2 linked regions of the Arabidopsis thaliana genome follow. The protein of the gene in region 2 interacts with the protein of the main gene of each other region in a biochemical or structural test. Each region holds a gene or a part of one and is shown on either strand. Other genes may lie near its edges.

Region 1 (3,926 bases), on a different chromosome or scaffold from region 2:
AAATATGAAAACAGAGTTACAAAATGGTACTTGTAAAGCAAAATTGTCTTTAACTTTAAGACTTTAGTATCAAACTTACCATGGAGAAACGTGGCAAGGCTTCCTCTAGACATGTAATCGAAGACGACAAGCTTCTCTCCTTTAGGGCCTAAGTAATAAGCTCTGAGTGCAAGGAGATTCGGATGCCGGATTCTTCCCAAGACGTTAATCTCATTCTCAAACTCTTTTTGACTTTTGGTGATCTTTCTCTCAATCTCTTCACTGCTACTTGACTTCCATCTTCAAGTGTAGCTTTGTACACAGTCCCATAAGTGCTTTTCCCCATTATCTCTGCTGTTGCACACAAAAGATCATCTGCAGTAAACGCCATTGGTCCATCAAAATGAACCAGCTTCCCTCCAGTTTCACCTCCAGCTTCAGCTTCCCCTCCTTTCTCAGTCTTTGCGGCTACAGCTCCAGGTCCAGCCTCTCCGCCCTTGGCTTTGGTTTCATTGGCTTTCTTCCTCAGCAAGCAACATAGAACACAAACAAGGATAAGCATAACTATGAGGAGTGCTCCAGACGCAATGAGGATGATGTCTTTGGTACTCAGATTCCTGTGGGATGGTTTCCTTTCTTTTTCAGGAGACGGTGAAGGAAGAGTAGGACATGGTGTCGAAACGCTGTATCCGCAAAGCAGTGAGTTCCCGACAAAAGAAGAGGAATTGAACTTTTGGGACAAGAGAGTAGGAACAGGACCAGATAAGTTGTTATAAGAGACATTGAAGAAGTTCAGGCTTTCCAGGTCAGAAATCGAAATAGGAATCTCTCCGGTGAGTTTGTTTTGAGACAAATCCAAATGTATAAGAGAAGAAATGTTCCCTAGGGTTTCAGGGATATGGCCACTAACACTGTTACCACTAATATCCATTTTTCTAAGCTTAGTGAGTTTGCTTAGCTCAGAGGGTAGGGTTCCACGGATCCTATTATGACTAAAGGAAAAAATCTTGCAGCTGAGTTAAGTTGCAGAGTGAAAATGGGAACGGACCAGAGAGAGAGTTGTGATCAAGAGATAAGACACGGAGATTAAGAGACTTACTACCCCAAGTATCTAAGATTGGACCAGAGAGGTTGTTATGGTCAAGAGCAAGAAACTGAAGGGAAGAAGACCGAGAGAGACTCACTGGGATTTGACCAGACAGTGAATTAAAGCTGAGATTAAGCCTAAGAAGCTTAGAAGAGTCAGCAAGATTCGGTGGAATAATCTCAGAGAGCAAGTTATTGCTGAGATCAAGCGTTTGAAGGAAATGTGATACACCGAGAGAAGCAGGGATTGAGCCAGTGAGACGGTTGTTGAAAAGCTGAACTCCTCTAAGATTAGGAATGAGTCCCAATGACATTGGAATCGAACCTCCAAGGTTGTTGTCATGAAGACTAAGCTTACGAAGAGCTTGAAGCTGTCCGATTTTCTCAGAGATTCTACCTCCAAGACTCTTCCATGGAAGTTGAATGACGATGACTTGACCTTGAGCACATTTTATTCCAGCCCAGCCTCCAGAGCAAGCACTGAATCCAGAACCGTTCCAGCTTCTCAAGAAGCCTCTTGGATCAATCAGTTCTTGTTTAACTGCTTGAAGACCTTGGTAATCAGCTTGTGTTATCACTACACCATCCCAGGCTTGGCTTGAGCAGGGAGGGACGAAGAAGAGGAGGCATATGATTAGATGAAGGAGAAATCGGCTTCGAAGTGAAGCCTTAGGTTGATCAATGTCGGTGTTGATCATACTCAGAGAAGTAATAGCTTGGTTTTGGGTGATAAACTCCATTAGAAGATGAAGAAGAAGAAGAAGAGAGAAGAAAGAAGATAATTGGAGTTCTTTATGGGTGAATAGTAGTTGTGATGAGGATGGAACAGGGAAAGATTTTGGATTTGAAAGAGTTTTGTAAAGAGAGAGATGGGTTTCGTTGGAAAAGAACAACAGAGCACGTGACCATCTTAGAGAGAGAGAGAGAATCTTGGTCTGTGTTCTTTTATCTTGTAGTGAGAGAGAAGTGAGAGAAAGAGAGAGAAGGGAGACAAAGATCAGGTGATGGTAATAAGAGGTTGGGGGGTGGGAACAGTGGATCTCTCTGTTCTGGCCTAATATTAGTAAATGGGCTCCAACGGCTAGTTTCATTTATTCATATTAGTTACTTGTGTTTAATAGTGTTTTGAAAACACTTTGTTTTGTTCGATGGGTTGCTCTTGCTCATGTCATTTTGTTTAACAGTGTTTAGTAAAATACTAGTATATGGATTTCATTGGGAATTTGGAATTACTAATACATAAAGGTAGATTTTGTTAACTAAGTATCAAAAAACGATAAAAAATCATTAATCACAATACAAACATGTTGGTTCTGACAAAGATGAAAAATTTACTAGTATTACAAAAACAAAAATTTTGATTTGTCAAGAGTACTATCATGCTTCGAATTTGAACCAGTAATATATTACTTACATTCAAATTTACCAGTTGTTTTCTTGGAATCTTTTTTTTATAGCTCTTAGTTGTTTGTATGTGAGGTCAACATTATTTAATTTTATTCCAAATCTAAGGAAAGAGATCAAAGTATTGTTCTTCCGAATAAAGTAACAAATAAAGCAGACAACATAATTTTATTTTATTCTTGCAGACCAGCTTCGTTTAATGCGTCGGAGCTGCCTAATGGACACGACACACGAACAACAAACCGCTCCGCTCCTTCACTTCTCCTCCTAACGGCTATATTTGTGGGACCTACAAGCCATTGGATCACTAGATCTTGTAAAGAAGCCCAAAGGAAATGAACAAGCCATTTTATTTATGGTTACTGACTAAAATGCCCTCGCAAATGGAAAGTAAATAAAGTAGTACAGTTTCAGAAGAAGCAGACACACAACTTTGAAACTTGAAAGTGAAACTTTTCCTGGCTTACAATTAAACAAAGAAAAGAAGGGAAGGGTTGTGCCGTACGAGGTTATTATGTTGACGCTGATCTATCTTTGCCCTTTTTAACATAAGGCTGGTACACGTGTTTAAAGTGTTTGGATACTAGATGTGGAGGTTTTGAACTTCAATTTTTTTAAAAATTCTTGCATATACATTTTTCACTTCAAACACATTTTCTGAACATATACCAAACCTGACCATTTCTCTTATGAACAAGTCATCTCTATAATGAAGTCTATAATGACATATCACTCCTGTGGTTGCAAGAACAAAATTCTGGAGACACTCTTACCTTGAACTCAAATGGTATGTCATGTATTGTAAATACTATATCACAAGATTAGTAATTCTCAAGCCATAAGGTTTGGAGGAATCGAAACAAGATGGTTTCCGAAGGCGAATTTTATCATGCTGATGAAGCTGTTGCTAAAGCAATTAGATATTAGCCCCGGGAAAAATAAAGTCCAAACAATCTCTCAAAGTTAAACTGTACTCAAACCATCAACCTCGAACCCCAAAGCAAAGCCTAATTTTGTGAACAATAAACCAACTAACAATGCCCTACTTTTATAATCGGATCATCCTCATGTCCACCAAATCTGTTAATAAGTTTTATATTTCACAAAGTGGGAACTATGAGCAAATTAGCAGATTGATACTAGTTAGGAAAGGCAAGACAGTCATATATATGACTATATTCCATCCATAAAAGCATGAAAGTTACTTACTTCAAATCACAAACCAATGAGAAAATATAGGAGATAACCACAGTTGAGACTTATTAACACTAAATTAGATTAATATATACTAACTCGCCACTAGACCATCAATGCAACAGCTATGAACACTAACCTAATAAACGAAAAAGATTCCATGTGCGTTAACATTGAAAGTAACGTAAATCTCAAATACGAAGATGACAAAACAAGGGTTAAGAGAGTTCACCAGTTATACCCCAAATCGATCTTCTCTAAGT
Region 2 (3,926 bases):
TCCTCTCATGCCAGATGGTGTAAACGGTGGTTTGAAAGATGTATTTCATCAAGAAACATGCTACACTATCCTTGCGTTGGGCCGAGACTATGGTGAGTAGTTGAGTCCAGTCACTTGTATAGTGTTGCTGAAACAATCCTCGAGCAAGCGCTTCACATAGTTTTTAACATTACTATTTCTCAACTTCTTTAAACAACATGCATAATTCTTCTCTAATCTTGCTTTTTGATTTTTAGCATCACTCATTTATGCATCAATCGATCTGACTCTGTGAGACGACAAAAGCTGGGAAGTGTGAGAGAAAAGGTTTATCAATTGAGTTGTACTTACTCAATACTCAAACTATTATAGATGTTTTCTTCTTTTGGTTTCACGAAGGATTTTCTTTCTTTGTATATGTACATGCAGGCTTGTCGAAACCCATGTCCAAAAACAACTTGGGACAAAAAATTTGTTGTTCATGCATTTTTGTTGGAGTCCCTGACTCTTGTAGTGTTGGAGAATAGGACAAATGAAGAAGTTCTACATGCGACTATATCGTAAGTTCATAATCCATACAAGAGCAGAAAGCTTTGCAAAACACATAGGCCAGATTTTATCAATCACCACCGACTTGACGTTTCCACGAGTCTTCGACGATCAGTTCATCAACTCCCCATTCCTCGTAACTGATTCAGAGTCATAAGTAAGTCGCAAGAAAAGAAGATATCAAATTTGAAAGAAGAGCTAAAAGTATTGATATAACTAATGCAATCTCACCTCATATCAGGTAGATAACGTCTAATGGTAAATGGAATCTTCCTTTGCCTAAGCTCTTTCATCGCAATCTTAAGCCAAATCATACAATAAACAACACAAATGTTCATATACATATCAACATTTACTGACAAATCATGAAAAACACAACAAGAAGGAAGAAGGCAACACCTCAAGTGGATCAGTCTCACCCTCCAACTCAACCATAACAGGAGCATTCATGCTGTATCAGCCAACAACAGTACATAGAATCAAACTTTCCGAGCCAACTAAACGGTTAATCAACAAAGATTGTTCTCAGTAGCTGACCTAATCTGCAAAGCACGAGTGCCGAGGATACGTGCACGTTCATACTTAGTCATAAACTTAGAGGTTTTACGTGGGCGTTGCACAGGTTCTGTTTCAACCTTATCTTCTGTTTCCAAAGGGTCAACATTAACATCATCGTTCTCCTTGATATCAGCATCTTCCTCTACTCCTTCCTACTCACACCAACACATTCTAATCAGCCTAGTAATAATAATAAGCAATGTCAATCTCTCTTCTACAAATAATAACTTACTTCGATCTCAGGCTCTGCTGGCTCATCTTCATATCTGCAATTGAAAATCACCACATAACATCAACAATTTGAAATCCGATGTATAAGATTCAAACGAAATTAGGGTTTTCTATCTAAACAATATGAAATTATAATCAATGCTACGATGCCAGAACAATAAGCAAATTTTCAAAAAAGAATCTCGTTGATAGACTCTCAAACTAGACAATAATTGATCCAATTGTTCTCAATCGTTTACGATTCGTCGGGAAGAAGAAGATAGAATCAACTGAAATCGAGTACAAATGATACTAACATAGGAAACAGAGAGGGAGAGATTACCCCAAGTCATCGACTTCATTGTAATCGTCGTCAGCCATTAAAGTCGATTTGAGAAATCGCTCTCCTTGCTCTCTCGATAAAACCCTAACGATCGATGCAACTTAACCGAATGACGGAGAATGCGTAAAGAAGACTCTCTATGAAGTTCGGTTTTTAATTGCCGGTTTTCTTAATGAACCGTCTATTCAGACCGGTTTTAATTTCAAACCCCATTTAAGCCCACATGTATTTTTTTTTTTTCCCCTAACATAGCCCTGGGCATGTGGTATTCGGGTCAGGGTCGGGTCGGATTTTTCGGGTTCGAATTTTTGGGTTTAGAAATTTTGGATCCGTATGGTTATATCAACAATTTCGGGTCGGGTTCGGTTCGGCTTCACTTCGGGTCCGATAATTCAGGTATTAGTTAAAAAAACCATAAGTAACCAAAACTATTTCGGGTTTGAGTACTACTTACCCAAACTTTGTCCAAATATACCCAAACATACATAAAAATATCCATAAAACCCGAAAGATCTGAAATTATAACAAGTTTTTCCTTAAGCCAATAATATAAAACAAGAAGTAAACCTTGTTTTAAGCTTGTTCCATAACTCAAATCATTAAACAAGTCACATTATTAGTGTATATATATCCTCATATGTATATATAGGGCTGGGCAAAAAACGGGACCCGATATCGAACCTGATACCCGAACCGAAAAATCGGGTTGGGGTGGGTTAGGGTTTTAAGAAATTACTTCATTGGGTAAAGTTTTAGTAAACCCGTGGGTATCAGGTCGGTCCGGGGTTTATCCGTTACCCAAACAGGATACCCGAACATAGATTTAATATCAAAAATATTAATTATATTTAATCTTAATATAATGTAATAATCTAAAATTATAATTATAAATCTAAATATATCAATTACTTTTAGATCTAAATACCCAACTATTTAAAAATTATTTGTTATGTTTGTCAAAATTTAGTATAATATATCTAAATCTAATTAAATTATTAAAATTTGTTAATATTTAAGGTTTTTTTTTTGTTGGGTACCCGCTATCTACACATAAAATACCCGTTTTCATTTGTTTGGCTATTCTTAGGGCCTGAAATTCTTTACCCAAGCCGACCCGAACCCGAATGTACCCGAACTAGACCGAAATCGAAAATTTTCATTTTACCCTATTGGGTAGTAAATCCATTACCCATTTAACCCGAACCCGAACGGGTTTTACCCGAATCCGAACGGGTTACCCATATGCGCAGCCCTATGTATATATATGTTCGGGTAATAAAAAGTACCCACGGGTATCGGGTTCAGTTCGGGTAATTTCCGGTACCCACGGTTATTTGAAAACAGAACCCGATCAAGTAATTAGCCGGAACCGAAGTAGAACGGGTTTGGTTATTTCGAGTCAAGTTCAGTTCGGTTCTTCGGGTTCCGGTATTATGTCCGGGCCTACCCCCACAAACGAAGTCAAGATAAACAATTTTTCTAGTGAGCAATTTGCACAAAAGAAAGGAGCCTAAGGAGGTATTGAACACTAGTGATTACACAATCAAGAAGCAAAACTTCTTTGATTCCTTGTTATCTTAGATCTTTTAAAACTCTTTCTTCTAAAATCTTTTTAGTATCTAAACACAAAGTACAGTGAGAGTTTACAAATCTTCCATAGTTTCACTTACTCAAAATCTAATCCTGTGAACTCAATTCATGTAATACACAATTCTGTAAAAGTTTCTCTGTTTCAATTAAAAAGAAAAAAAATCCAAACGATAATCATTGTGATAAATCACAAGATGATATCATCTTGAACACTAACATTAAGAGTCTTATTCTGGAGAACAATGCTTCCTATGACTGCTACTTCATCTTCCACAGTTACAGCCTCACCTGCAGAAACAAATTAATCAGAAAAAATATAACGAAAAATTTGTTGAACAAAAAGAAAACAATGAAGTTACCAAGAATGGTAATCCCAAGCCTGTCATTGTAATCTCCACTAGCTTGAACTCTTGACCATCTACCTATAGAAGATTTCCATCCGATAATTGAGTTTATAACAACAGCATTCTCCTGCATTTAACAAGAGTAGAGAACATTAAACAACGAATCTTTTGGATTCATAACAAGAAGAACATTCTAAAACACTGATTCCAAATTACCTTGATTTCAACATCGTCTAAGATTATGCAGCTAATAAGCCTTACACCAGGTCCAACACGAACATTTGCTGATATCGACACATTTGGACCGATCTTGTTCCAAAGAAATTTAAGTGTGTCATTTCATTTGCAAACTG

Evidence for each region.
Region 1: the proteins of NRPB6B (region 2) and MRLK form a complex in vitro, tested with the Arabidopsis thaliana proteins (one study listed by BioGRID).

What each region holds. Positions count from the first base shown.
Region 1 is NC_003074.8:20,817,713-20,821,638, forward strand, and holds the start of MRLK (meristematic receptor-like kinase), read right to left. Parts: upstream 1,806-3,926; coding exon 1,075-1,805; coding exon of another isoform or gene 963-1,074; coding exon 149-962; coding exon of another isoform or gene 80-148; intron 1-79. UniProt on the Arabidopsis thaliana protein: Can phosphorylate AGL24.
Region 2 is NC_003071.7:1,618,570-1,622,495, forward strand, and holds NRPB6B (RNA polymerase Rpb6), read right to left. Parts: upstream 1,811-3,926; 5' UTR 1,678-1,810; coding exon 1,640-1,677; intron 1,353-1,639; coding exon 1,319-1,352; intron 1,239-1,318; coding exon 1,066-1,238; intron 980-1,065; coding exon 928-979; intron 828-927; coding exon 760-827; intron 669-759; coding exon 599-668; 3' UTR 222-598; downstream 1-221. Other genes in the region: AT2G04650 (ADP-glucose pyrophosphorylase family protein), read right to left, coding at 3,417-3,517, 3,589-3,700, 3,790-3,882. UniProt on the Arabidopsis thaliana protein: DNA-dependent RNA polymerase catalyzes the transcription of DNA into RNA using the four ribonucleoside triphosphates as substrates. Component of RNA polymerase II which synthesizes mRNA precursors and many functional non-coding RNAs.